Linked DNA regions of Notamacropus eugenii. The protein of the gene in region 2 purifies or fractionates together with the protein of the main gene of each other region. This does not show direct contact. Links are inferred from orthologs where the notes say so. Each region holds a gene or a part of one and is shown on either strand. Other genes may lie near its edges. The genes, in order: PRMT5, ESR2, COPB2 and SRSF5.

Region 1 (7,461 bases), on a different chromosome or scaffold from region 2:
AGGAAAAGGGCATCAATGAAGAGGGGCCTAAGTCATTCATTTTATATATCCTAAATCAATCCCCAAATAATTAGTACATGGCTTTAATATGTTTAATGCCCACTTGGCATCTCAAGGCAGCTCAGAATACCTCATAACTTTTTGCAAATAGCAAAATATACTTCAAATATACTTCTGGATCTCAGAATCCCAAAAGTGAAAACTGGGGACTGAGGAAACAAAGGAGAACAATATAATTCCTAAGTTGGTGCTTTATTATTTAATCCTATGGAAATATTTCCTTTGAAGATGGGTTCCATGAAAAGTTAAAAGTTTCCTGTGCCACATTTTCCCTTTATCTCTGGACCCCTTCTGGAATTAAATATGAAAAGAGAATTGATCTAAGGGGAAATTTCAAACACTCATATAAACAAGGTAGAGAATCACTAGGGAACTAAAGGATGAACGTTACAACTCTTCACCCCAATGTATACCCTTTTTACCTTGAGGAGCCGGAAGATTAATCTCTGGTGCACCTTAGAAAGGACAGGAAATCCCTTCTTATTGGTCAAGAAGATGCTGGTGGGAAGGATGGCTGCTTTGATTGGCTCCCCAAGCCATCGGTCAATAATATGACTGGATGGGAGATCAGCACCAACTTCAATAGCTATAGTATGGAAAGAAAGATCTACTGAAGCCCAAACAGGCTTTCTTATCTGGGAGTCTATTACAATCTAGCTATGTAGCAGCCTGCTATAAAGTAAAAAGAAGTTACCCAAAGTCTCAAGCTAATCTGAAGCTTCACACCATGACTTCAACTCACATGGCGGAGGGGGGAAAGAAGCTCTAGCTATGGCAGCCTGCCACACTCACCCACTGCAATCCTCTTGCTGTAGTCACACAGGGTACGAAAGTTATGCCACCTGACCAGAAGAAAACAGAGCACAGGGCCTGCCAATCATTATACTCCTTCCAGCTGTCAGTCACTGTCCCACAGCCTCTAGCCCATTCTTCTCCCAGCCCTGGTTCTAATCTTCTGCAATAACAGAGAGAATCACATACCACATCCATGTCTTCTCCTCCCCAGTGTATGCCTCTGTCCGTTGAAGAGGCTCATTCCCAATGACATCATCCCGAAGGTCTTCTGCCGCCACCAGGGGTACCCGTATCCAGAACTACATGGAAAGAAACTTATTACCCTTGCCTCCACAAAGTTTTCTTTGATTAAAATGAAAATGATCCCAAACCAGTGCTACACCCTTTAGAACCAACATGTTTTTCTTGTTTCCTGCAGACTTAAGTAGGTAGTGCTACTTCATGGAGACAATGCCCATTTGTATGTTTAGGCTAATATCTATTTGTCTATCTTGTCTTCCAATTCAACTCTATGTTTTCTGAGACAGAAATAAATTCTCTTTATTAAAAGGATTCATTTTTTTAGTAACAGTATTTGTTTGATATATCCAATAACTGACTGATCAGCAATCCTAGGCAAATATAGAAGAACAGCAGGGTTCTTTCCAATCCATTTTATGCCCAATGTATTAGGTAGCCTGGTTTGGGATAAAACAGTATTAAATACAACCCAACCACAGCACAACACTGCCCATTCATCTTCTGGGTCTGGGGAGGAAATCACTTAGGTCATACCATGGAAGAATGATGGCCTGTGTGAATGTGATTGGTCAGAACTCTGGCCAGGTTAGTGTTATCTTCTTGAGTGAGAGGTAGCAGGAAAGCTGGAAGCCCCAGGTATGCCCCAAAATTCAACTCCTGCAGCATGGCCTGGAACAGAGACCAACACAGACAGATTAGTCAATGATGTCCCAAATGGCTTCCATCCTTGCGGTGCGAGACAGAGCTGACAGCAAGGTGTCCCAACAGCCGCTGAAATGTGGTCTGCCCCAGGTGGCCCCCAAGGGTCCATGACAGCCACAAGGCATCAGCCAAGGAGCCTCACCGCCTCCGAATTCCTTCTTATCTTCTCCACTCTGGAATCGGGGCGGATCCATGGTGACAGCTTCCCCACAATCAGGGTATTCCAGTCTGCATGGGCCAGGAAAGACAAAAACAGGAGAGGGGTGAGGACGTGAGCCCGCTTCTGCCCCTGGCATGGGGCACCACAAACCCGGGGCGTACGAGGGGCGGGCAGGGCTCAGACAATGTGGGGGGCGGGGCTCCTACCCCGTCCGGACAGCAGCAGGTCGGACCGAGTGTGGGGCCCGGGGCGGCTCTTGGCAGGCTCCTGGGCGAATTCCCTCTTGAATCGGGGGTGGAAGACGGGCATGCAGAGGAAATCAAAGCTGAGACAAAGACAGAGGACCCGGCCCGTACATTAGTAAACCCACAGCGGCCCGGCCCACGTGGGCCGGACCAGCGCGCACTGCCCACGCGCCAGGGGGGCACGGGGGGGCCTCGATGCCCCCCAAAAGGGACTTCGTGGGAAGGAGGAGAGGGAAAAGGCAGGACCCCCCCTCCGGCGGCAGGGCCGGCCCCCGTGGGATCTCGCCCCTGGCACGGGTGCCCCATGCCCCAACTATCGCCGGATTGCCCGCACACCGTGCCAGCCCGCTCCCAGCCTCGGCAGGGGACACGTGCGCCCGAGCCTCTCCACCCACCCCCATCCGCCGCAGAAATGGTCTCTCCCACCACGGTCCCCTCCCCCTCCCCCCGGGGCTGGGAATAGTTTCTCCCACTCCATCTCCCAGAAAGCGCGCGTCCCACCCCAGAGAGGAGGGAAAGGAAAACGGGGCCCTCACCCTTGTTTGGCCACGGCCCCCAACGTATCGGCCACTTCGGGGACGCAGTTGAGGTCCCGCCCGCTGGACACGCGGCAGCCGGGGGCCCCAACTGCCACCGCCGCCATTTTCCCCCTCACGTTGTCTCTCCAGGACCCCTGGCTCGCAACAACCAATGGCGAAGCGCAGAAGAAGCCGGGTTTCCCCGGTAGGCGGGAGGAGTCTCCTTAACAACCCGAGCGTCTCCTTGCACTCAGCGCCGCGGGGTAGGCGGGGCGAGGTGTGGGCCTCCCTACCAATCAGGGGGCGGCGCCGTGACGAAAGACAAGAGACCTGGAAACCTACCAATCCGAGGGCCCCGTTTGTCCGCCGAGTCTACTTCCCGTCTCGTCTTAGGGAGAACCCTTGAAACAGGTCCAAGCGAAAAACTACATCCCCCATGAAGCCCCGCGGCATGCTCTTGAACACGGGCCGCGGCCAGAGCTTTTTCGTCCGAGGGCCAGTGGCGCAATGGATAACGCGTCTGACTACGGATCAGAAGATTCCAGGTTCGACTCCTGGCTGGCTCGTTGGGAACGGCTCCTCTTTATTGCTCCCTCGGGAGGCATCTTCTGTCCTCTCGGTCTCCGCTGTTTTCCTGCGGTCCCTTATGGATCATGGACGCTTCCTCCGTCTGCTCTTCCAGCACCATAAGGGCCTTCCGAGCGAAGAACGCGGCCTCGGACTCTACTTCACGGTAGACCCCGCCAGGCCCGCGCTCCCTGGAAGCTTCCAGCGGGAGAGGAGGCAGGGAAGGGACGTGGAGGCCGTGTCTGCTGCTCCCGAAAGCTGGACCTCACGCGCAGTCACGGAATTCCTCCGTCCGAACTCCCCAGAAGAGAGTGGGTCCAGGACCTACGTGGGCGTGCCCCGCGGCCCGTGGGCACGTCGGGCCGGTGCCCCCCCGGTGTCCCCCCAGCGTCCTGCGGGTCGTCCAGGCTGCCCTCCCCCGCGGCCAGTCCTGGGGTCTGCACCTTGGACACCGGCCTAGCCCCGCTCGGGCAGCTCCAGGGGCTCCCCGCGACGCGCAGGACCGGGCAGGAGGCCCCCGCGCCCCCTCGCGCCCCGCTGCTGGCCCACGACCCTCCCTCCCCCAAGCGCATCTTCTCTGGCTGCCTCCCCTCTGAGGCGATCCCCAGTGTGTCCTGCAGGTATGGTGGGTGTGCATGCACCCCCGCTCCTCTACATGTCCACATCCACACGCGTGTGCGTGTTGGTGGTGGTCTGCCTCACTCAGAGCAGGGGCTGTTGTTTGCCTTTCCCTGGATCCCTAGGACTTCGTACGACAGCCTGGAACCCAGGAAGGGCTTCGTAACTGCTGACTGATTGCGTCGGTGCGTTCTCTAGACATCTTGTTTAAAGGATCAGGTGTAAAGCTGGTGAAAGTTTGTCTTATCTTATCCATTCTCCTCATGCCAGTCAGTGTAATATTAACGATATCTCGTGCGTTCCCTGTAGACTGTACGCTGCCCTGGTGTCACTTCCAGGAGAGCATCTGATGAATTACAGACCGATGGATGACCGGTGTTATCTCTGCCTCTTGGAAGACTTACAGAAGGCAAATGGATGTCTACTAATGGAGGAATTTCTGGCATGTTGGTATTTGAGTGGGAGGAAAAGTTTTACATGGGAGAGTCTTCCTGATGCCCTAGAAATCACACCAGTAAGTAACTTCCCATCCTCCCTGCCCTGCCATCTCACTGTATTAGGTTCCAGTTCAGGGAGTCAGGAGATCTTGGTTTGAGTATGTCACTCACTACTAATGATGGGGCTCAGACTCTGGGAGCCTCCTTGAGCTCCCCTTGAATCTTCCCACTTAATCTGGCCTTCCTTACTCAAGTCTAATCTTCGCATTTGTTCTGGCAGTCTCCGGAAGCCCATGGGCTTTTCATTATCTTTCTACTCTAGTCTCCGTTGCACCACCCCCCCCCCCCCTTGATCCCATCAAAACCCCATTCCCCTGGCTGCTGACCACTCCCATCAAGATCTGTATCCATTCCCATACTGCCCCTAGATCTGTATCCATTCCCATACTGCCCCTATCAAGGTCTCTGGATTGCCCCACCTGCTTCCCACCCAAACCCACACTAATCTGATATCTCCTGATAGCCTCCAGCTGATTCCAGCCTTTGACCCTCCTTGGATTCCCTCCTTGGACTTCTCCTCAAGACCCTCCCTAAACACCTCCTCCCATCACCCTGGACTACCAGACCACCCCCAGATCCCTCCTACACTCTTTTCTGTATTTAAGTTCCATCTTGCCTCCATGAAGGCGCTCAGATTCAATCCAGCTCAGACTCTGTCTAGCTGGGATTCTGTCTGGCCTGCTTGTGAATACAAGCTTTACAAATGCTTAGGCGCCTTAAGAGGCAACCCAATTTGGTGAATCTTTAATAAACTTTGTTTTCTTTGGCTTTAAGAAGGCTTGAGTAGAATTCATTCGAGCACGACCCGGACTGTCGGTATCTTGGGGTCCACAATCACCCCTCAACCTCGTCACTATGTGACCTTTTTCAAGTCCCTTCACTTCTGAGGACTTCAAATGACCATTAAGTGCTATGTATACATCATTGTGCTAGGTGCTGTAGGAGATAGAAAGTTTAGAAAAGACCCAAGGCCCAGTGGCACCCACAGTCTAACAGGATCCATAATAGTAAGATCCATACTCAGGAAATTGAAATACACAAGAACACTTGATAAATAAAGTTTGCCCAGTGATGTGAGAGAATGAGCACTGAGCAGGTTATCCCTGACACATGGAGAGCCGAGGGAACGTCAGGGAAAGGATGACTATTTAGTTGGGCTTGAAAGAATAGGAAAAAATTCAACAAAGGAGGAGAGAAGGCATTCCTTACCTAGGTATTGGCCCAGGCAAAAGCAGGAAAGGCACGTATCCTACGGTATTTTGGGTAAGGATAAATGGGAGATGGAAGAGCACAGTTTAGCCAAAGTAACAAAATTAGGCCAGAGGTCTTCTCAAAGTCTCCCGGACTCTTAAAATTCTAAGAATGACAAGAACCTCATCAGACTATTTTATTGTATTCCCCATGGCAATAAATACCGTATTCAGAACTGGGCGTATTCTTGGACTTGTTAATTGATTGATTGCATAAGAGGCTATATAGAATTAACCTAGAACATGCCCCTTACTATCAGCTAAGCCTACGGTTACGTAAGAATCAGAAAGACACAGTAAAGAGCACTGATTGCTTCCATCTTTGTTTTTTGGGGAGACTTTAGGTTTTTTAATCAATTTTCAGTTGCGTATCCTTCTATATTCTGTTTTAAAAGGATGAGGGGAGAAACATTTCTTTTTTTACCTATAGAATTGTAAGGAATGTAGGACTTTGAATTGTGAAGATGGGCTGAGATAGGGAGAAAGAAGAATACAGTGGAGTGAGGAATGCCTTTGAGGAAAAAAAGAGTTTATCTCAGCCCTACAAAAATGGGTGGAAAATATGGATGCTTCATCGCCTTCACTGAACAGACTTACAGAATTTCAGAGTTCAAAAAAACCACAGTGAGCTTACCAGAAAAAGAATTCACTTGATCACTTATCCAACAAGTTGACATCTGGCTTTTTCTTGAAGAACTCCAACAAGTGGCATCCATAGCTTCCTGAGGCAGACCTTTTCACTTTTAGATAACCTCAACTGTTATAAAAATTTATCTTTGTACAATTTTTCACTCAGGATCTCATCCACAATAATTCTTCATTTGGTGTCAATTCTCTCCTCCATATGACATCCTTTTAATTACTTGAATATATCAATCATGTTCCCACAAAATCTTTTCTTCTCCAAGTCAAACATTTCCAGTTCCTTCAGTCCCCATGTAGTATGAACTCAAGGTCTTCACCATCCTGATTGTCCACTCTGGACAATCTCCTGAATATCAATATTCTTTCAAAAATGTGGCATCTCTAACTGAACACAAATACAACAGATGTTTGATGGCCAAGTAAAAAGGGATTGATACTTTCGTATTCCTGAAATTCATACCTTTCTTAATGTACCCTAAAATCATATTAGTTTTCCTAGCCACTATATCACATTATTGATCCATATTGCACTTGAAGTCCACTAAAACTTCCAAACCTCTTTCAGATGTTCAGCCTTGCCTCCACCATCTTGCATTTGTGAAGTTGAATTTTTTTAACCCTGGACATAGATGTGTTCCTATTAAATCTCATCTCATATGATTTGACCCAATGTTCATACCTGTTAAGACCCCCTAATGGGTTATCTATCTCTCCTAGCTTTGTGTCATCTGCAAATTTGATGAACACATGTTTCTGCTCCCAAAACACATCATTGATAAGAATGTTAACATGAGACCAACCACAGTTCCTTTTTTGATTTTTTTTTTTATTAATTGTCCTTTGACCAATACATTATAGAAAATTGCTAGGGATTAAAGTCAGGCTCACTAGCCTATAATCTGCAGACTATTTTCTTGCCCTCTTTGAAAATCAGAGCATTTGTGCTTCTCCAATTTTGCAGTTTTTTATCTTGTTTTTCCTATTCTCTGTGATCTTTCCAAGCACACCAAGAATGGTTCATCAATCACACATCTGCCAGTCCTCTCAGTACTAGAGGATCTGGGTCAAATGTCTTAGATCATTAATGGTAGGTAGGCAACTCCCAGTGTGGAAATTCCCTGCACCGATGCAGTTTCACAGCTCATTAGTAACTTAGTCTCAGAA
Region 2 (7,971 bases):
AAGCAGCACTGGTATTTTAGACAAAAACTTCTCCTATCATTCACTGTACATGAAAATAACTTGGATTTGCAGAAATACTAGAAACAAACAAATCAGTTAAAATAAAAACATAATGCATTGTTTTAAACTGTACATAAAATCCCCCAAATCTGTGTTTCTTACAATGGCCTCTAGTTCTGAAAGTACCACTCGGAAGTCCAAGCATTAACACAGTGAATGAAATTAGGCTAAAAGGAATAAAAAGTGTGATTAATAGGAATAAAATTATATATATGTATTTTATACTTAAGTCATTTCAAAACATATACATCATTTATTTTAACCTTGTGGTTCTCCACTAAAAGTTGCCATTTTTCAACCACTGTCTGCTCTCTACCATGCAACTAAATACAGCTTCAGGCAGCCTTCTTTATATCAAATGGTATGAAATTAAGGTTAAAATGCCAGGATTGCAGTGGGATTATAGAACTCAGGGAACAACAAAAGGCATAATATTTTAACTCAGGGAAGCTAATGATTTAAACAAAAGCAACTTAATTTAATGAGTAATTAAAAATTAATGTCCTAATGGGAATTTTCAACTAATGCTAGGTGTCATTTCCCTATAATGTTATTAATAGCTTAAACATTTTCCCAAAGTCCATAACTTTAAACATTAATGGCTAAAACATTTTCTCAAAATTCATAATACTAAAGCCTAAAATGTCACATTCAACAAAAATGAAGCGTTTTCTCTTATGGACAGAAGCAGCACAAAATATGAGCCCAGGATAAGTGAAATAAAGCTCTGAAGGGCAGACATTTCTCCTAACTAAAAGTACCCCTCAGAGCCAAATCCAAAGGCTTGTTGTATTCGTAACACTTGTTGATGCACTAAATATATAACTTCCCCCTTCCTTCCAGCAACTAGATTCTAAAACAACACAAACTTTTCTCCGAAAAAAGGCAAGATAATGACCACAAAGATTAGTTTCTTTATAACCAAAGTACACTTATAAGATAGAATATTTTTAAGTGCTTAAGTGTGGTAAGTGCTGATAAGAAAAAAGACTATCCCTAATCAAAGTATATGAGTTCAATGAATATGTAGTTAACCTTTACGATCAAATCAAGCATTCCCTTCACTACTCCTATTCTCATCTCATGTGTACAGGGCAAAAACAGACATTTAAAGATAGTTAGCAAGATAATTAATTTCTCCAAAAGAAATCTTTTCAGGTTGCTAAATAAGACCCTGAGATACACATATCTATGTATCTACATGAATAGATAGTTATAGACGGACATAAACTCAAGGGGTGATATTATTCAGTAGCAAGGTAAATAAAGTTTCATTTTAAAAAAGTACACCATTTGACTGTCCTGAACTATGATTTCCTCCTGTCAAAAAAGAAACCATTACAAACCTCACTTTCATTTCCCAAAAAATAAAATATTTTCACCTGAATGACATTCTCATTCTATCAATTTCAGTTTGCCAGTAAGAAATAGACCACTGATAAATCCCTATTTCTTTAAAGCTTGTCTTCCTTCTCAACCAATAAAACAGCCACATCTTGCCCAAACCTCTCAGACTAAAGTCCATCTACCCTTGAACAGGAAATATCACTAATTGATTTAATTCAGCTAGAACAACTACCATCTGACCAGTCACCCCACCACAAATCTCCCCATCCCCAGAGAAAAATATTGTGTTGCATTCTTTTTTTTTTTTCAAATTTAAATCAAGTGGAGAATCCCTGAAGAAGATACTTTAGAAGGAAAAACCAGAAGGAAATTTTAAAAATTCTTGTGTACAAATCAACACAAAAGTGTTTCTATTTCACAGATGGCACATACCAGTAGAAGAGATTAACTTTCCTCTGCCATAAACGCAGCAGTTATTAGTTTCCTAAATTTTTTTGTTTGTTTGCTGCTCTCTAGATGCTAGTGCCTCTGCACTCCTGAATTTCAAAAAATTAATCCAAGCAATTAGATTCTGAATCAACTGTTGTACCTACCTGCAGGGAAACAATCCGTTTCTTCAGAACAATCTGGCCAGACTAAGCATGCACATGGTTATCTTGCAAGAATTCTCAATGCTCTAGGAATCCCAGTCTCCCCAAAGCTGGCTTTTAGCTTCAGGAGGGATCCCTCGCAGCTACTAAGACTGTAGGACGCATCCAATCCCCACAAGCACAAGCTAGTCAGTGACCGTTTTTACTGGGCAAGAAGATACCAAGTCATCAGTACGAGTCTATTACACCTACAGCGGACCCTCTTGCTGTCTGTTTTCCAAGGGAGGAAGGTAGAGTTTCTTCCTCCTCCTTCCTGACACAAGTTTCAAAGCAACGCGTTTTCAGGAAAGGCAGCTTTCGTTTTCTCGAGCATCAAGTGGTTAAAAAAAAGTCAAAAAAGCCTAAGAAAAACGAAATCACAAATAATTCACCAGCTGTTGTTCATGTCCCCTCTCCCCTCACCCTTTCCTCTTTCCCTTTGCAAATAATCGCAATGGGGAATTGAAGCTGACGCCCCCAAATGAGTAAGCCCACCTTTCTCTCCAGAAACACTTTGCTTCTTTTTTCCTCCAGCTTGGGCAGGACTCTAAAGAGCCGGCATCATCCTTTGGGGGACCCTAGGACAGCTCAGCTGCTCCCCTAGCCACTTCCAATAGTCTTAGGGGGACCCTAAGACCAGTAGTCTTATTCGGATCCTTCCAAGACTATTGGAGGTAGCTGGGGAGCAACTGAGATTTGTGAACCACATCTGTGCCAGGAATCAATGCAGGTTTCTGGCTCCTGGTGTTATAAGCATTTCCCAAGAAACCATAGTTCCCTGCAATAAAAAACAGGCGGGATGGTCCGTGCTTCTGAAGATACAACATACACTTGAAGGGGTTGAAGCTGAGTCCAGCTCTCAGGCACCTGAAGCACAGGTTAAGAAAGGAGCAGGGGAGCATGGTGCTTGCTCCACTAATCAGTTACAGGAGTCTCAAAGATCAGACCAGCCATTCCAGACTGCAGCTGGATAAGGCAGTAGTACAGCTGATTCTATTGGGAGTTGAGACGCCAGAAGCTGCCCCAGCCCCAATTGCTTATGAAGGAATTCTCTTCTCAGCCTCAGGACCCTCCAGTGTGGAAGCTGCTGCCCCCTTGTGGCATTTTAGATCCCTCCTTCTCCCACCCCTCATAAAACAGAATTTGTTCATTGAGTGTGGGTGGAGAAGAAAGGTGGCAATGAGTGTCTCAGATCCAACTAACCAAGTCTGTTTAGGGGATAGGGCTAAAATACTTCACTCCATTAATCATATATTGCTAGAAGAGACCTTGAGGTTACTCAGTTCAACAACTTTGTGTTTACAGACAAAGAAACTGAGTCCCAGATAGGTTAGGTGACTTGCCCAAGCTGATACAGATAACAGATCTAAGAATCAGATTCAGGTACTTCTCTTCCAGAGGTAAGTTCTTTCAGGAGTAGCTAGCTGGCAGCTAGGAGTGGTGAGCCTGGAGTCAGACAGATTCATCTTCCTGAGTTCAAATCTGACTTCAGATCTTTACTTGCTGTGGGACCCTGGGCAAGTCCTTGAACCCTATCTACCTCAGTTTCCTCATCTGTAAAATGAGCTGGAGAAGGAAATGGCAAACCACTCTAATATCTTTGCCAAGAAAAACACAGGCGGGGCCATGAAGAGTCAGGCACGACTGAACAACAACAAAAGTGTTCTTTTCACTATAGTTTGAAAGAATATGGTTGTATGTGTTCATTCAAAAGCAAATGACAAGGAACTATGGAAAGAGCCTTGGATTTGTAGAGAGAATCTGAATTTAAACTCAGTTCTTCTATGTTACCATGGACAAGTCAATTAACCTCCTTGAGCCTCAATTTTCTTATCTATAAAAAATGACAGGGTTGAACTAAATGATTTTGATGGTCCTTTGTAGCTCTAAATCTGTGCACACTTCTATGCATGGTATAAGTGGTGATGCGATAAGGGTGCGATCCCAAGCACTTTTGTGAAGGAAGGACAAATGTTCCCAAGCATAAATGTCAGAAGGCATCAGACCTGTGGTCCATCTATTTATAATCCAATACTGCCTCTTCCAAAGAGACAAACAGCTGTTTAGAAGTTGTCCTCTGTGATACCAGCCACAGCAATGTGAAAGAAAGGAGTCAGTCCTGGGCCTGGAATCAGGATACCTGACTTCACTGTCTATTTGCTGCTCAGAATAAAATCAACCTGACTTGCCCAGAAAAAATTCTACTAATTGATGCAGTTTGAAACTGCTATCATCTGCTTCCTACATACAGGCTCCCCTACTTTGTGATATCTAAAAGAGATCCCTTTTCAGGTCTCAACTTCTCCATTGCAAAATGAAAGGAATCATAGGTTCCTTGTAGCATCTGATCCTAAGACATTAAGTATCTAACCTAAAGCAACCTAATTTCCCTTAATAGTGTAATATAGAACTATTATTTATGAATCTCTAAGTTCTTATCTTAAACATATAATTTTAGAAAAAATCATCCATCTCTTGATGTACATTTTTCAATTAGTTTTAATTTCCTAGTTAGCACAGAGAAATCCTTCCTTGCCTTTGATTCATTTCTGAGTTCCAACTATGTTCAGGGTAGGGTTACTGTTCTCAAAGTGCTTACAGGCTAGTAATGAAGATAAATTAGAATAGAATAGAATAGAATTCAGTGAATAGAATTCAGTGAATATATGAACAAGGCACAAAGTATTATGAGAAGGTAAAGGAGGGACTGGAAAGTTAGAGGTTATAGAGGTGACAGGGAGGACTTCATAGAAGGTGTGGCCTTTTGAGATGGAACTTGAAGAATGTGATAGCATTTGAAAAAGGGATGCCATGAGAAACGTTCACTGGGGCAGCAAAACACAGAACTTCTTTGGACAATGAGGGGTCTGTTTTGGCTGAAACAAAAGGTATACATGTGGGAGTAATATAAACCTGGAAAGATAGGTTAGACCAGAGGATAGAGGACCTTCAGTGATGAGGTTAGGAGACTTAGGCTTGTTAGGTAACAATAGTTAGCTATTGATTTTTTTTTGTTACTTTATTTTGAAAGGTTATATGACATATTAGAAAGAATATCGACCTGGAGTCAGAAGACCTGGTTTTAATTCCTGACACTTACCCTTTGAGGTTACTAGATGACTCAGTAGATAGAGCTCTGGGCTTTGAATCAGACAGACTCATTTTTATGAGCTCATATCTGACTCCAGACACTTAGCTGTGTGACCCTGGAGTGTTAAGTCACTTAACCCTCTTTGTCTCAGTTTCTTATCTGTAAAATGAGCTGGAGAAGAAAATGACAAACCACTCCACTATCTTTGCCAAGAAAACACCAAACAGGTTCATGAAGTATTGGACACAACTGAACAAAAACTTATCCTTTCACAGTCTCAGTTTCCTTATCTCTAAAATGGGAATAATTCTTATACTACCCACCTTATAGCATTGTTATGAAGAAAGCTTTTGCAAAACTTAAGCAGCCTATAAATATAATTTTTTGCTGGGGGGTAGGAGAGTATCATGATCAGTGTGTTGTAGGTAACATATTGAGTATAAAATTTTCAGCATTTACACCTTAGAAATCAGTAAGTGCTACAAATCAGGGCTAGATTTGTTGTTTTGTTGCTCGTCTAGACTTAGGAAACTGATGAAGAAAATGTTAGTAATACAAATTAATCTTAAAAGTATATTCTGTGCATTGTTTTCATTTGTTTGTTTTTGGAGAGCCAGTTGTTAAACATTTGCCAGCATACTCTTGCTCAGATATGTGTGTGTGTATATATACACACACACACACACACACACACACACACACACACACATATATGTATGGATAGACAGACAGACAGACAGACAGACAGACAGACAGACAGACAGACAGACAGATAGATAGATAGATAGATAGATAGATAGATAGATAGATAGATAGATAGATAGATAGATAGATATAGATATTCTAGATTACAGGGGACAAGAACCTGAGGCAGGGAGAAATAAAAGATAATGAGGATCTGAATTAAGGTGATGGGAGTGGAAGTAGACATAGAGAGACATGAAATAATAACTCCTAGATTTCTCTATTGAGTAACTTAGAGAAAGGTATCTTTAACATAATTGGGTGTTTGACCTAATTTATTTTTAAGAGCATCAAGTGGTAACCTCTAGTTCTAGTAGTTTAAGATTTGGTAAACAAAGTCTACACTTACCCTATTTATATTCTTTTTGTATTTTTTGTATTTTTTTATTTTATTTTTTTTTATTTTTTGCGTTTTTTTTATTATTTTTTAATGTTTAACAATCATTGCCATACAATTGAGATTTTATCCCCCCCACACCTACTCCCCACTACCCCCCTCCCTCCCCACGACTGCATACAATTCTGTATAGGTTCTACATATACTTTCCTATTGAGTACATTTTCACTATAGTCATGCTATGTAGTCGGACTAAAATAAATGGAAGAAATCATATAACAAATCAAAACGATACACAAAAACATACACATACACAAACATGATCTTCTACATTCTGCGAATGACTTCCATATTTCTTTCTCTGAGTGTGGAAGGCATTTTGCCTTAGAGAACCACCATTGGGATTTTTTTTTTTTTTAAGAAGTTCTTGCCTTATTACGAAATTCCAAGTCTACCAGAAAAAACTCTCGCACACTGTGGTTGTTGCTGTGCACAAAGTTCTCCTGGTTCTGCTCCTTCCACTCAGCATCAGGTCATATAAGTCCTTCCAGGCCTCTCTGAAGTCTTCTTGTTCATCATTTCTTATGGCACAATAGTACTCCATTACATTCATATACCATAATTTATTCAGCCATTCCCCAATTGATGGACATCCCCTTGACTTCCAGTTTTTGGCAACTACGAAGAGTGCTGCTATAAATATTTTTGTACATGTGGGACCCTCTCCCATTTTTATGATCTCTTGGGGATACAGTCCTAGTAGCGATATTGCTGGGTCAAAGGGTATGCACATTTTTGTAGCCCTTTGGGCATAGTTCCAAATTGCTCTCCAGAATGGTTGGATGCGCTCGCAGCTCCACCAACAATGAATTAGTGTTCCAACTCTCCCACATCCTCTCCAGCATTTATCATTTTCTTGTTCTGTCATGTTTGCCAATCTTATAGGTGTGATGTGGTACCTCAGAGTTGTTTTGATTTGCATCTCTCTAATCAATAGTGATTTAGAGCATTTTTTCATATGATTATAGATATCTTTAATTTCTTCTTCCGAAAATTGCCTGTTCATATCCTTTGACCATTTATCAATTGGGGAACCTATTTATATTCTTTATAATTTTAAAGACAAGAAGAATGACAAGTCCTAAGTGGCCAAGAAAGTATGTGGAGAAGTAATATAAGGCATCTAGCAGGTAAAAAAAAGGTAACTTGGGGAGGAACACATCCTAGGCAATGGAAAACTCTCAAATTTGTGTACACATGAGGATGGAACTATCAACAACCCACTTACCCCTTTCTTGCTACCTTTTCACTTCTGGCTCCTCATGGCACTAATAACAGCACAGGTTTAAATAGAGAATGGGCTGGGAGTGCTGGCACCTCATCTGTGCTCTCCTATGAAGCAGTGTCATATGGGAGAAAGAGCACTGGCCTCATTAGAAGACCCATCTTCAATCTGTGGGTCTGTCACTCACTAGTTCTGAGACCTTAGATGGGTTACTTAATGTGTCTGAGTCTCATTTACTTATCTGTTAAATAGAAATAATGCCTGCTCTGTTCTGCCCCATAGAACCCTGAGGAGTTAATGCATTTAGCAAATATAGCACCTAGTATTATATAAAGCTCTTTGTAAACATAAACTACATACATTACATTGAAAAATATTAGCTATTATGAACAAAATAAGAAAACCAAAGTGTAATAGAAAGACTGTTGGATTTGAAGTCAGAAAACTGGATTCAAATTCCAGCTGAATTTGTCATTGG
Region 3 (7,967 bases), on a different chromosome or scaffold from region 2:
CAATGCGTAGGCAAGGAAACTGCACTCAAATGAATTTATGCTGAGGTCTTCCTGAAAAATCTTGTAGGTTAAGTATATTGCCTTTTGATACCTATCACAGTATCTATAAGTACCTAATTTTGTTATGACCTAAAACTTGAAAAACTGACTCAGCCTAGAGAAAAATATCTATTTTTATTTTAATGATATAGAAATAGTATGAAACTGTTTCGACATCATCAGATCCAAACCTTCTTAGATTAGTGCAGCTGAACACACCACTGAGGATCTCAACCTTTTCCAGAGGGTGAATTCTTATTTACTGAAAATTATAAGATTATGGATTAAGGCAGTGACCACCAAATTGTTACTATGGGAGAATGGACTATTATCTGCTTCCTTTTCCTTCCAACTCGGAAACAATAAATCACAGAAAATAAGGCTTGGAAGTGGTGAAAATGTCAAGGTCTTGCCTCTGAAACGTCTCTGGCCCATTGAGAGCTCTACTTTATTCTAATGTTCAGCTTGTCCACATTCCCTCGCTTCCCCAAAGTGTTTCCTAATCTTTCCTTATCACAAGAATAAATCTTTAGGATAAGAAAAATGATTATTAATAACCAAGGATTTGGAGATATACAGAGTTCTCCCTTTTTCTATAGTCCTCATTTCAAAGCTCAGTCTCTTGAAGGATGTTACTGATAATGAGACTGAATTAACTTCCTCAGCATTGGTCAGGTCCCACCTAACCTCACAAGGAATTTAATGTAAGGTGGAGAAGCCCACTGTGCTCCGCTCAGGTTTGGGGGGGAAGGGATAAATTCTTTCATTAGATTGCTCAAGGCTGGGGGTAATTGAGAAGTAAATGACATAATCAAAGTTCATTTGCATAGGTCCAGTCCCTCATCATTAATATTCTTTCTCTTATTACTTGTTAACCAGTCAGAGTTGATTGCCACCCTCGGGAACACCCACTTTTCCAAAGTCACATAAACCTTGAGGGAGCACACCACAGTGACAGTCTGGCATTCTAGAGTGCCACTGACCTCTTTTATTAAAATGTTAGCATTATTATTAAAATGACTAGTTAGCCAGAAATTATGTCTCTTGAACTTTTTAAATGTCATAGGGAGTAGGTGGGAAACTACTAGAACCAAACATAAAGGCATTTTCCCCAAATACGTGTATCTTGACTGTGTCCATGCTATTCTCTTTCAGGTAGGGCCATCAACTCCACCTCTTTTCTATGAGAACTTTGGGCTCTGCCCCTAGCACCATCAAGACTGAGTTTTTGCCTTGTCTTATCTGGATCCAGGCTTCCATCTCATTTCTTATCTCTATACCATATCAGAATGTGTACTATACCTTTCTATCCCCTCTTTATGTACTGTATTCTCTATTAGAATACAAGCTCCTTGAGGACAACTCTTTTTTTGTTTTTATTAATATAGGGACACTTAGCACAGTGCCTGGCACATATTTAACCATCAATAAATGCTCTATCTATGGAAGTGTGTGCATTCTATCTTGTTAAAATGTTCATTTCAACCACAGTGAAAGAACAAGCTTTCCTTTTTTATTGTGTTCAATATCTAGTACATTGTAAAGCTCTTATTAGTTAAAAGTAGCTATAAACTAGGAGAGTATTTAAAGTATGAGTTATATTTATGATGGCCAGAGTAAGCATCCTCTACAAAGTCAGGCAGAAGCACTGTGGGACAATAAACCTACCAATGGTGTTTAGATCATTGCTGAGGGACATTGCCAAAAAAAGATTATGAACTAAGAGTTCAATACCGTCGTCAGTCAAGTAATACCTTATATTTACCTAGTAATTCAGTTACCAAATGAATGCAAGTTTATCTCATTTGATCCCTACAACCCTGTGTGCACAATTCTATCTACATTTTAGAGGTGAGAAAACCGAGGTTCAAAGAAATTGGTTAAGTGAAGTGCCGACAGATGCACAGCTAGTCACAGCAGCCATGCTCCTGACCTGGGGCACTTCTGATTACACCATACTACATGTTTAAAAACCATCAAGTTATCTATTTTCTCCCCAAAGATCATTATCGTTGCTCTTCCTTTGTTCCCAAAGACTGGGAGAGTCTTCTCAAAGCTATTCAGAGATGAAGATTCTATGCTCTGCCTCTGTCAGTCACTTGTCCTTTCCTATGAAACCCCAAATTTCCAACATTTATCTGTTTCCATCAGTGGAATGGATTAGATACGTAACACACAGTAGTAAATGACCATAGTAATCTAGTGTCCCAAACTTTTGGGACAAGAAAGCACTATTTGACAAAAATTGCCGGGAAAACTGGAAAACAGAATGGAAGACTCTAGGTATAGACCAATATCTCACATAGTATACCGCGGAAAGGTCAAAACGGGTACCTGATTTAGACATAAAGTGTGATACCAAAAACAAATTAGGAGAGCAAGGAATAGTTTACTTCTCTGATCTATGGAGAAGTGAAGAATTTATGACCAAACAAGAGACAGAGAGGATTACTATACAATGGATAATTTTAATTATATTAAATTAAAAAGTTTTGGCACAAACAAGACCAAATGCCATCAAGATCAGAAGGAAAGCTGGGAAGAATTTTTTTTTTTTACAGCAAGTGTCTCTGATAAAGGCCTCATTTCTCAAATATATAGAGAACTGAGTAAAATTGATATACCAAGTCACTCTCCAATTGATAAATGGTCAAAGTATAAACAGAAGAAATCAAAGCTATCTATACTTATATGAAAAAAGCTCTAAATTGCTATTATTTAGAGAAATATAAAATTAAAACAATTTAATACAAACTAAAACATCTCACACCGATCACATTGGCTAATATAACAGGAAGGAAAATGATAAATGCTGTGCAGGATGTGGGAAAACAGGGATACTAATGCACTGTTAGTGGAGTTGGAACTGATCTACCAATTCTGGAAAACAATTTTGAACTAGTTTCAAAAGGTTATGAAACTGCATATCCTTTGATCCAGGATTACCAATAAATAGTAGGTCTATAACCAGAGATTAAAAGGAGGGGGGGAGGGGCGATTACCTATTTGTACAAAAATATAGTAGCAAAGAATTAGAAATTGAGGAGATATCCATCAATCAAGGAATGGCTGAAAAAGTTGTTGTATATGATTGTAATGGAATACTATTGTACTGTAAGAAATGACAAGCAGGGTAATTCTAGAAAAACCTGAAAAGACCTACATGAACTTATGCAAAGTGAGCAAAACCAGTACATTGCACATAGTAACAGCATTATTGTATGATGACCAGCTGTGAATGACTGGGCAATGCAAGGATCTGAGACAATTCCAAAGGATTCATGAAGAAAGATGCTACCCCCTTCAGAGAAAGAACTGATGGAGTCTGAATGCAGATTGAAGCAGACTATTTTTCACTTTATTTTCATGTTTTTGTCTGTTTTCTTTCACATGATTAATATGGAAATGTTTTGCATAACTGCACATATATAACATGTCAAATTGTTTACTCTCTCAAGGAAAGGGGAGAGGAAGGAGAGAATTTGGAACTCAAAATTTTGAAAAATGAATGTAATTGGGGAAAAAAGTAAAATATTTTTTAAAAATCTGTCTCTTCTTGTACAAGGAATTTGTATCCCACTTTTAAAGCCCCTGGAAAAATAGTTATCAAACCACAGCCCACATCATTCTCTTCTCCCCCCAAAAAAACCTTTGATAGAATAAATATCAGAGCTAGTGACAGTCAGAGCTACCCCCTATCTTTTACAGAGTCAGAGACTGAGACCAACAATGAGAATGCAAGGTGATTTAGTGGAGTTCCGGATTTATAATATTATAATGTATATTATGCAATAATAACATATAATATATAGTAATTATCACAATAGCTCAGTTACAAAACTTTAATCAAAACTTCGATGGAAAGCACTTCTGATACATTATCTTAGCATCTCACATTAAAGAGGCTGCTCTGGCCTCACTATCTCTGGGTTAGGCTGTTTACTCCTCCCCTCCTTCCCTGCCCCTCTCCCTTCGTCTTAGGTACCCTGTGAAACTTGGGGTTATTTTTCATTCTACTTCATCAGCCCAAAGCTCCAGTGACTGCTTTCTCCTATTTTAGAGGGCCAGTAAGTAGCCCCCCAATTCCATATAATCACTTCACATACCCGTCTGGGTTGCCAAGAGTTTTACAAAGGCACATTTACTTCATAGATATAGTAAGAAAAAAAAAAGTACATTTTCCCCAACACTTGTGGGTAAAGTTTCTCCCTCCCCTCACCTTAGTTCGGTTCCTACACACAGATGAGCTAAGGCTGAGAAGTCAGAAGTCACCAAGGATCTGAAGCAGGATCCGCACCCCCCTTTTCTCTTCACGAGCGCCACCCGCCCCCTCCCGATGCAGAGGTCGTGTGGCCCAGGGCAAAGGCTTCTGCCCTTTCTGGCCATTGATTTTTCTCATCGGTAAAAAGGCAGGGTGGGGAGGAGGAGCCCGGGCGATCTCTAAGATCCCCTCCATCTCAACATCCTCTGCGGGGAAGCGGCAGTCGGGCCCTGAGCCTGGGCCTCATGGGCTTCTTCACAGCCCCGGTCGCTCCACTGGGCCGGGCTGCCTTCTTTCTTAGGGACAGGAACAGGAAGGGCGCCTGGCGGGGCACCAGGAAGGTTTTCTTCCCGGTCTTCCCTCGCTCCTCTGCTCAGGAGGGGCGGGCTCCCCTCAGCCTGGGGCTCCGCGGGGATGTCTCTCCTCCCGGACCCCACGTTCCCTGCACTGCCGCGGAACCTCTGGATCCTGGCCCAATAAGCATGCAATCCGGCTCAGGGAGACCCCCGGGCTCCGGGTGGGTTGCCAAGGCAACGGACGGAAGTGAGGTGTGCTGGGTGAGGAGGAATGTGAACCCCGAGCCCCGGCGCCGCGAAAACTCTCGCGAGGTTAGTCCCGGCGTTCCCGTGCTGAGACGCCAGATCTCGCGAGAGCCGGCCTCCCGGAAGCTCCACGTCAGTCAGTTGGTCAGTGTTCTGCCAGCGCCAGCGTCAACCCCGAGCTAGCGGGCCCCGGGACCCGGCATCGAGCGAGGGAGTTCGGCGTCGCTGACGGAGCCATGGTGAGACTTTGGCCTTGCAGGCTTCAAAATAAACGAAAGCGCGAGGCGGATCGGCGCTGGCCCTGCAGGGGTTGCCGTGGCCAGGGCAGCTCCGGAGATCTCCTCAGGGCCTCCTACGACGGGAGAGGGGGAGGGGAAGAGGGGCCCCGGGAGCCCTGGGCTTCTGCCGCCCGGTCCCCACCCGGCTGTGTGCAGGAGTTACGGGCCCAGGTGTTGTGGGACCACCGATTTCCGAAGGAGGGATGGGGCGGGGGACGGACCGCGAGCGGGAGGCGGGGCGGGCTGCAAGTGGGAGAAACGGGGTGTCGGCTTCTTTCCCTCGTGGGTGAACTCTTTGACCTCTCCGAGACGCAGTGTCCTTATACGTGAAGTGGAACGATAACACCTGTAGCCCCTGCCTCGCGGTGTTGTTCCTAGGACCAAATGAAGCCACTTGGGCACAGTGGTTTGCAGACCCTTAAAGCCCGGTATCACTGTCAGTCTGCTGCTGCTCTTCCTAGAGATGACACCCAGAGAAACCAGGACTGTGCTGACTTAGAGACTGGATCGTAATGGCTGGTTTTCGGGGCGGGTCATTTCTCAGGAGATGAAAGTGACAGTCATTGTTAGCATCAAAGTTGTACATTAAAAGCGTTCATTTAGATGCTTTTCACGTTATTTTCCAACTCTACGGTCATGATACAAAGCTGGAGGTACTTGATCTTATTATACAGCACTTAAAAGGTATAAAGTGAAGTAAAGAATGTCAAACGTTTTTATGTATATAAAGGACAAATTAAGTCTAATAAAATTGTCTCCAAACCCTTTTAACTAGAATTTTATAAATCTAGAAAAGTTGAAGTGTACATTACTAAAGTGTTTTACAACTATATTTTTTAAAAAGTTTGCTATATAAAAATGCCTATTATCCATTCCTTATATTTCTAAAAACAAAAGTTGTCTTTTTAATGTCACTTGAGTATTCTCATTCTCATAAATATCTTTACAAGTATTTGGTAGTGTGTTATTATATTCAGGGTTTCCTCAAAAGTGCACATTTCTTGCCTCTTAGGAAATGTAAAGAAGTCTTTCTGCCAGGTTGAATTATTTTTTTCTTTCCTTTTCCCATCACAAAGATTGATGGACTCAGAATAATTTCGTTATGAAAGAATTTTAGGAAAAAATTAATCTTTCAAGAGGAGGGGATGGAGGTCAGAAAAGGTTAAATGATTTGTCCAAAGTTACACAGTGAATAGCAACAACAGAGGTAGAATCATAGAGTTTGAAGGGATGTAACAAGTCATCTAGTCCTGTCCCTGAATCTCCTCCTACTGTGGCAAGTCAGCATTCAACCTATGTCTAAGCATCTTTAGGTACACAGCATTTAGTACTCCAGGAGACAGTCTACTCCAGTTTTAGAGAAATCTGATTTTTAGGAACTTCTTTGTAAGGTTGGGCTCATTCTATATAATTTTACCCACTGGTCTTTGTTTTGCTCTCTAAAATCACTCACACGATGGTTTTTTAAATATTTGAAGCTAATTTGTGCTAAATCTCCTCTCTTGAACAGTTTTTTCAATAATCCCATTTATGGCATGGTTATGAGTCCTTCTACCTCCCTTTTAGCTTGTCAATTTCCCTCTTAAAATGTAGCATCTAAATATAATAATACAAATGTGGTCTAACCAGTGCAGAGAGACTGTTCCTTTTTGGTTATGGAGATGTTTAAATACCACTTTTTTATGAAGCTTCCCTCAGGATGTCATGTGACATGTTATTTTGTATAGACATCTATGTAATGCATTAATTGTGTTTTATTTACCTATTAGACTATAAGCTTTATGAGGGCATGGGCTTTGTCTTAACTGATCTTTGTATCTTCCTTTGTTATCTAGAAAAAAATAGATGCTTACTGAAAGCCAAGTGTTACTAATGCCCAAGTGGACAAAGTTCCAGGGTAATTGTATAGTCAGTAGCATCAGATGCCGCAGAAATCAAGGAGGTTGAAAACTAAGGAGAGGCCATTGGCAGTTCACAGGTGTTTGGTGACATTCAGAAGAGTAATTTGGGTTAAATGACAAGGGAGGGAGTATAGAGTTCGTGAGTGATGAGGAAGTAGAGGCAGAGATAACAGTTCTTTTCAGGAATTTGGCAGTGAAAAGACTTTAAAAAAAAAGCAAGCCAGGATGTAGCTCAATGGAGCAGCAGCATAAAGAGATCATTTTTTAAAATAGGGGAGAATTAACATGTTTGTAGGTAGAGGGAAAGGAGCCACTTGGGGGAATTGCAGAGGGAGGCTGGAGTGGATGGAATCAAGAAAGCACAGAGAAGTACTAGAAGGTAGAAAAAGTATGTGAAGAAAACAGGGAAAGCCCAAGATAGTGAGGAACGTATGGCAGTGGATGTTTTGAAGTGAAAGGAAGGGAATGTTAGGTTGCTTGAAGTTCTCTAGAGAGGAGTAACTCATTGTCTCCTAAACGATCCTATTCTACTTGGGGATAGCTCTTTTGGTAGGTTTTTTTTTTCTGTATGTCAAGCAGATATCTACCTCTCCGTAACTTCTTATCAGAACTTTTTATTCTGTCATTTTGGGCCAAAAAGAACAAGGCTAATCCATCTTCCATTTGGCCCCCTCTCCCAAGTAATCTTATCCGCCACTAATTCTTGTTTGGGCTAAATATCAGTTATTTCAACCACTTCTCAAATAGCATGACCGAAGCTTTTCATCATACTGTTTGCTCTCCTCCAAGTTACATCCCAGGGTAGCTATAGTGGTGATTGTGATTATTGAATATTAATTCAGAATTTTTAGGATAGTAGAGGACTGAAAAAGAGCAAATAATGTCATTCTAACTTTTCAAAAAAGGGAATAGTCTATATTTTGTAACCTGAATTTGATTTCTGGTA
Region 4 (7,034 bases), about 1.4 Mb from region 2:
TGGCACTTTAAGGAAGTGCACCGATTACGTCTAGACCGGCAAACACAGATCTAGAGGTGGCCAACTGATCACTGTAGGAGCTGACTGGCAAAGTCAACCAGGCCCAACCAAGAGTGACCAAGACAGAACGATTAGGATAACCCACAGGCACTCCTCGTCATAAGGCCAACGACACAGATAGGCTGGCAAATAAAGGGTTTAATATTTGGTTAAAATTGATTTTAAAACAAGAAAAATCCTCAAAAACATTTACATTTGATCACTATCATTACTCTAGGCTTCAAATATCCCCCAATTATGTTAAATAGTTTAAAATGATATTATAGATGTCCAGTTAAGTTCATATTTAAAGATAAAACTACTTTAGTAAAAGGTTTAATATTAACTACCCATTATTTTTTAAAATATTGAAGAAGTTTTAAACCTTATTTCAACAAACCTGCCAGCTGACTCGTGAAGATAAATTCTCAACTATAAGACGATTTTCTGTTCGCACAGGTGGGGCATTTCTGGGGAAAAAAACAATTGAAATGGAAAAACACTACTTGTGAGTTTTAAGAGACAGGACATTTTACTTATTCAATTCTGTTTTTAAAGTAGAATACCTTAATTCAGAAAAACCCATACCTCCTATCATTTCGGGGACGGCGGCTACTAAATCGATCAGAATACCTCCCTCTTCCTCGTCCACCTCTTGAACGAGCCCTGGCGTGTTCAATAGTAACCCTAGAATAAAGTAGAAAAGTCTTCATTAATAATGCTTACAAGTTCCCAAGCACTCATATACGTTCTCATTTAGGTTTTAATCCAGTACGTATTGACAATACAGATGTTAAGCCCCTGTTAGAAATTGAATTATATGACTCAAGTCATGGCCACAAAATTAGTTAAATATCTATTCAGGAATCAAATCCAGGTTTTCTCTTCTGACTCCCAAGAGTTCAACACTCTTAATTTTGCAACACACCATCAGTATATATTTATGCACAGCATGTAGATATTCCTATGAACACATTTGTAAAATAACATTACAATTAAAAACTTTTATAGGACCTATGTAGAGATGCATAGAAAATTCACCTGGCAGTTTCTGAGGAGTGTTGCTCATTTGTGAGACTTCTTTAACTCAAAAATGAAATATTATAATCCTGTTACAAGTTGCATCTTTTAAACATGTGACTAAAAAAACCTCTGGCTTTTGAGATGACTTATACTAACTTACACTGCTTGTCATACTGCAGTGTCTAAAAACACTAGTTAAATAAACTTGGCTTACATTTATTTAACAAAAAAACTCAAAAAATAGAAGTAACATGATTTCACAGGCTCATAGGTTTAAAGGTGAAAATAATTTTCTAGGTCATCTGGCCCAACCTTATTTTTATATATGATGCAAAATTAACTCAGAAGCCTATGGTCTCATAGGCAGTAACAGTTGGGTCTTGAACCCAAATCCAGCAGTAATTTTTAAACAAAAAAAGATTTACCGCTCACTGCAGAGTTCCTTTCCATCAAGTTCATAAACAGCATCATCAGCATCTCTTGGATCCTCAAATTCCTAAGAAATGAATCATTTTAGCTATTTAATTACAGGAAAATGAATAACAACAGATGTGCAGCACTAGGCAAACTTAAATCACTACATGTTAGTAAACTAAGTCAATATGAATAACTATCTAACAATCTATGTACTCCAATACTAGATAACAGCCCATTAACGTTTAAAAATTTACATTTCCTCTTAAGATGTGGAATTTGTTAAAGCTGTATTAGTGCAGTATTTTCCTTGATTGTATTAAATTTATTTAACCTCACAGCGTTAGGACAGTTTGAATTTTAAAATAAAATTCATAGCGTTTTTTTCTTTACTAGCAACAGTTTTTACTGGATACCTACCACAAACCCAAAGCCTCTCTTCAGATCAATGTCTCTTATTCGTCCATATCCTTTAAAGAACCTTTCTACGTCTTTCTCTCGGGCTGCCGGATTTAGCCTTCCAATGAATACTCTACAGCCACTCATGGTGTCCCACTTCGGATTCCTACGAAAAAGAAAGGCTACGTTAGTTATAAAACCAACAGGAGCGTTCGAACCCAAACAGGGTGCTCACGTACGGATCAGAATTTCAGCAGATCTACAAACTAGGGCGGTTTCCCAGTAATCTTGACTCCGCACTCGCGGGTCACTTCACCTTACCCCCTACCGCAGCCGCCGCAACGCCCCCGGAGGTCGGAGACTGCGCAGGCGCACTTCCCCTCCCCTCCGCCGCAGTTGGAAGGACCGAGAAGCGAAGGAGGGGCGTAGGCTACATCCTCCGCATTCTCGGGGCCAATCTAGAGCAGCCGCGTGAGCTCCTTCCTCGCCAGAGCGTCACAGCCAAATGGAAGCTCCAATCACGCGACGCGACGCCAGCGCGTGCGCAGTAAGCAAATAAAGCCTCTGGAACCACAAAATGGCGTCTGGGCGGGGACGGGACTGGAGTGGCGCGCGCAAATCTCTCTCCACTTCCCCCTCCCCCACGAACGTTCCCTACCGACCCGCCGACCGTTTAAGCGGCCGGTTTGGTGGATGAATGCACGTTAAAGGTCTGACTTCTAAACCTAACACTTAGGCCTCCTGAATTCAGATAAAATGGGAAAAAGCCCGGAAAGATATAACGGACACCGCCCCAACACCCTTACAGCCCTCTAGAAGACACGACAGACGCTTCCGGGTAGCAATCTTTAGTCCTTTTCAGGCCCCTACAACGAGAAAGGACTATGGCTTGCTGGTAACACGGGGTATTCCCCGTGTCCTGTCTTAACCCCCACTACGGGGAGGCAGATACCGGAAGAGCAAAAATAATTCCGAAAGGAATTATTTCCTTTAAAAGGCCAGTCGCTTACCAATCTAAATGGGCAGGAACTAAAGCGTTAAACCCGCCGGAGGCAGAGACGGCGGAGCGGTCGAAAGTCCACCAACAGCGTTGACTCGAAGAGCACGAACTTCCTCAGGCTACGTCTCTCTGCAACTGACGCACTTATCCACTAGGACGTTCCACAAAATGGAAGGTACTGGGCGTGCGTCACTTCCGGCCCTAGCCCAGAGCAGCACGTGACCTTGTTGCTCGCTCTAAGGCTTAAGAGACTGGCTGAAGGGGCTGGAGGCTCCTCCTCTTCCGTCCCAGAGGCCTAGCGCCGCTGGGGGGCGGGGCCAAAGGCGGACTTTGAGGGGAGGGAGAAAGGCGGAAGTGGATGGGAGGGCGTTTGTAGCTTTTAGTGGTAAAGGGCAGAAATGAAGGCCGCTTGACCCGGCCCTTTGGTTCGGGTTTATTATTCGGTATTCAGGAAGTGTCTTCCCAGCGCTGGGTTCAGCGTTAGACCCGGAGGGTAGACGGAAGTGAAGCAGGCCCTGCCCCCTAGAAGCTCCGGTCCCATAGGGCCGATATGTAGAACCCGAAAATGGAAAAGAGAGCCCCAACAGCTTCCAGGTGGGGAGGGCCAGGTTGGGGATCATCCCAAGGCATTCCACAGCCGTTGCCTTTTGGGGTGACTGCCTCTGCAGTTTACCTGGCCCTTCACCCGGCTTTTTGTCTGCTTGCTTGCCCCCTTGTTTAATCTCCACCCGTTTTATTAACGGGTATTATTATTGAGTCTTATTCTCAAACAAGCCAGCAGCCCGCACTGGTGTCCAGGCCTGCAGAGGGGGACCCACCACGTGTCAGGCTTGCATGCGTTAAGACCCCGCCCCCGCCATGCGGGCTTTGTGGGCGTGCAGAGGATGTGCAGGACTGCAAACCTTATCTAGCCTCATATCCTTGGTGTTGCCAAGCAATCATTTGAACTAGAATGAAGTATCATTGCTCTGTCTCCTCTGCCGGCTCTTTTCAGTTTTAAGCTACAGAGAAGCTAGATGTTTGCGTTTAGGAGACAGAATGAAGTCACAAACTCTCACTGCTGGAGCCCTCCCCAGCAAATTCAGGTCAGGCTTTTGCTTGCAGCCAAGCCAAACAAGCAGATGTGATCCCGCTTTCACCTGGCAAGACCTTCAGATATTGGAGAACCAAGTGAACTTGTCTCCAGGCTTCTCCTCTCCATGCCAGACATCACCATTTCTTTCAGCTTTTGGCCTCTTGGCCCTCTGCTTTCTTTTTCCCCATCACGGATGCTCTCCCAAGTTTTTCTCTTCCTTTCTTTCAAACAGGGAACTCTAAAAGACAATAGTTTTTTTTTTCCCCTTCTGTTCCAGATGCCACCTTACTCTGCAAAGTTCTCCCTAAAGAATTGCATCTAATTTATTGTCTCTCCTGTTGGAAGGTTTCCCTTCACACTTAGCTACATTAAACAGAATTTTACTTTGTAACTATTTCTCCCTGCCAAAGGCCACTGTAGCCCTTCCGAGTTTAGTTTAAGTACATCTCCCACTCCCTAGGCAGCAATTCTTAAACTCTGGATTGTGACCCTATGGGGTCAAGAAAAATTTGGCAACGGCAAAAGGTTTCTGAACAACCAGCAACCAAAAATTAATTATAAATCGAATGCATCATGAATCCGAAGCTTTTCTGGCGGCTCTTGCTTGCCTGTGTTGCCTTGTGCAACGTCACTGCAGCCTTGGTTCTGAACTTGCAGTATATGCACTTTGCACTGCGCATGCCCTCAGGCCGTGTGACCCTTGTAAGTAAAATTCTCTAAAAGTGTTATTTTAATGCCTTTTAACAAACAGCATAAGCTTAGTTTAACAAAATCATAGTATTTCAGAGTTCCTAGCAGCTTCGTTTGATGAAAAACTGGCCTAGAGCACTGAAGCAATTTTGGAAATTTGGAGAATTCTAAATGAAAAGTCTCTCCTCTGCTCAGTAGAAGTATAGCAATGCCTCTTCATCTTAAGTGGAGCCCTTACTAGGAATTGCTCTCCCCATTTTTCAGTCTGAATTGATTTGCTGTTTTTACCAATATCCGCAGCTCTCTGGCCTGTAATTGCTTGCATCTCTGACAATTTACCCTCAAACCTCCCATTCCTTTACTCTCACACTCCTAAACCAGGGCAGAAAAAATAAAGTGCTGCAAAGTAGGGCACTTACATTGATTTAATATGGAAAAGGGCTACTCAATATCTTCTCCTAAAATTTAGAAAAATCTCTATATTTACAAAGAGGTTTGAACTGCCAGTGTGAGTTCTGAGTATTCATTTGCTATATTGAAGAGGGAAGTACTGAAATTCACAATTGTGTCTGAAGCTTCTAATTGGTGTCTATGCTTTTGGGAGGGTTTATGGAGGAGGAGGGATAAAGGAGAGGGTCTTAGGTGCAAATTCTGAGAAGAGTGAAAGGGATAGGACTTATGGATGTATGGGGGTTACAGGAAAGGAGTTTTTTAGGGAGAAAGATAGGGTCTTTTTATTTCCCAATTTATCCCAGTTCCTCCCTTCAACCCCTCTCACACACATGCATACACACACACACACACACACACACACACACACACACACACACACACACACACACACACACACACACACACACACACACACACACACACATATTCTCCTGCAAGGAGTCTGCTCCAGCAGTTTCTTATTCAAAGTACACATCTAGAAATTCAAGGTGACTTAAAGTAGCAATTTTAATTAAATGACAAAGCTCTTTAACACTCTAATCACGGCACTGAATGAAGCAGCTGATTCAGTCACAGGAAGTAAAAGTGGAAGCAGTTACTAACAATATTTTCAGCACTTCTTTGCGGTGTGTCAACAAAATAATTAATAATATACCAACCAATATTAAAACGCTTACTATGAGCCAGGCATAGATCAATGGGTCTTTAGAGTTTAGATGGAAGATTCCTTATTTATCTTTGTATAATTCCTTGTTTGTTGAACAATAGAATCTGCATGCTTGTTTTTTTGCTATGATTCTTATCAATAGGTTATACTGAGGACTGTAGGAAATACTAAGATCCACCTTGGCCTAGTGGGGAAAGAGATTTTTTGAGTCTAGTTTAGCAATGTGAAGACCTGACCTATTGCTAAATGTGTGACATAAAATTTTATTTTATTCCCAGCAGTGACAAAGGCATCAATTCTTCCAATAAAATTTTACATAGATAAGTTTACCAACATGCAAAATCTACTTAACATGATTGTTTTCAACTGTTAGGATTTGAGTTTAGGGTGACTTCATTTACCTTACCATTTTTTTGGCTAGGAATTCCAGTCAAGAACAGAGAATGTCAGAAGTTTAATGGGAGGAAACTTCAGAGCCAACTCAGTGTTCCATAAAGAGGACAAGGTGGACAAGAGAGAAACACAACTTGGCCAGTACTGGGGGAATTGGGATAAGCAGAGAACATTGTATTCCAAGTGGCTAAACTCCATGCAAGATCTTAAATTCCTAACAAGAAAAGCTAATAAATCAACTAACTGGAGGACTAGCCTGTGCCTGATTGTTGATTGTGATAGCACTCTCCACTCCCTTTCACGGGGTCCTTTGGCCATTGTAAGGGAGGGGAGATTTGGGTGGAAAATCTTCCTCTGTGGGACTTGGCTTGTGTGGCCTGGCCAAGTTCTAGTAAAGTTGACTTTCAAAATGTACTACAACATGCATCTTTTCTGAATGGTATTTTACAATTGACATTTTAATACAGGTTGTATACAGCTGCTATTGAGCTGTTCTGTGTATCTTATTGTTTTGTAATAAGATAATTTTATCCAAAGAAAAATCCTATACTGGTATCTCACTTGTACAAGCTTAGTACACTGTTGGTAACCAACAGAACTCCCAAGCCTAATCAGAGTAACATGGGATTTAGAGCTGAAATGGATTGTAAAGTCATCTAGTCCAGCCCCCTCATTTTTCAGTTAAGGCCTGTTTGCTGAAGGTCTCCCAGCAGCTGCATGTAATAAGTCAGAATTGGAGCCTAGGGCCCCTAATTCCAGGGGTTTTCTGCTCTATTCTGCCTCCCCAAGTGTTCTCTCCCTCCTCTGAGCTACTGTAGCATTTGGTATTTCTATAACCTAGGCTTGGCTGAACATGCCCAATTATAAAACAAAACTCCTGG

The links.
Region 1: the proteins of ESR2 (region 2) and PRMT5 purify together in Homo sapiens (affinity purification with mass spectrometry; 3 studies listed by BioGRID and IntAct, with this or other methods). This does not show direct contact. The link is inferred for Notamacropus eugenii from reciprocal best matches to the Homo sapiens genes ESR2 and PRMT5.
Region 3: the proteins of ESR2 (region 2) and COPB2 purify together in Homo sapiens (affinity purification with mass spectrometry; 3 studies listed by BioGRID and IntAct, with this or other methods). This does not show direct contact. The link is inferred for Notamacropus eugenii from reciprocal best matches to the Homo sapiens genes ESR2 and COPB2.
Region 4: the proteins of ESR2 (region 2) and SRSF5 purify together in Homo sapiens (affinity purification with mass spectrometry; 3 studies listed by BioGRID and IntAct, with this or other methods). This does not show direct contact. The link is inferred for Notamacropus eugenii from reciprocal best matches to the Homo sapiens genes ESR2 and SRSF5.

The regions. Positions count from the first base shown.
Region 1 is NC_092878.1:10,219,130-10,226,590, reverse strand, and holds the start of PRMT5 (protein arginine N-methyltransferase 5), read right to left. Parts: upstream 3,002-7,461; 5' UTR 2,846-3,001; coding exon 2,739-2,845; intron 2,283-2,738; coding exon 2,164-2,282; intron 2,026-2,163; coding exon 1,940-2,025; intron 1,765-1,939; coding exon 1,630-1,764; intron 1,155-1,629; coding exon 1,042-1,154; intron 903-1,041; coding exon 853-902; intron 647-852; coding exon 483-646; intron 1-482. UniProt on the Homo sapiens protein: Arginine methyltransferase that can both catalyze the formation of omega-N monomethylarginine (MMA) and symmetrical dimethylarginine (sDMA), with a preference for the formation of MMA.
Region 2 is NC_092872.1:308,278,447-308,286,417, forward strand, and holds the start of ESR2 (estrogen receptor beta), read right to left. Parts: upstream 3,050-7,971; 5' UTR 2,532-3,049; intron 2,399-2,531; 5' UTR 2,001-2,398; intron 1-2,000.
Region 3 is NC_092876.1:327,603,611-327,611,577, forward strand, and holds the start of COPB2 (coatomer subunit beta'), read left to right. Parts: upstream 1-4,945; 5' UTR 4,946-5,078; coding exon 5,079-5,081; intron 5,082-7,967. UniProt on the Homo sapiens protein: The coatomer is a cytosolic protein complex that binds to dilysine motifs and reversibly associates with Golgi non-clathrin-coated vesicles, which further mediate biosynthetic protein transport from the ER, via the Golgi up to the trans Golgi network.
Region 4 is NC_092872.1:309,637,252-309,644,285, forward strand, and holds the start of SRSF5 (serine/arginine-rich splicing factor 5), read right to left. Parts: upstream 3,023-7,034; 5' UTR 2,886-3,022; intron 2,042-2,885; 5' UTR 2,023-2,041; coding exon 1,897-2,022; intron 1,559-1,896; coding exon 1,488-1,558; intron 727-1,487; coding exon 628-726; intron 510-627; coding exon 440-509; intron 183-439; coding exon of another isoform or gene 132-182; exon of another isoform or gene 1-131. UniProt on the Homo sapiens protein: Plays a role in constitutive splicing and can modulate the selection of alternative splice sites.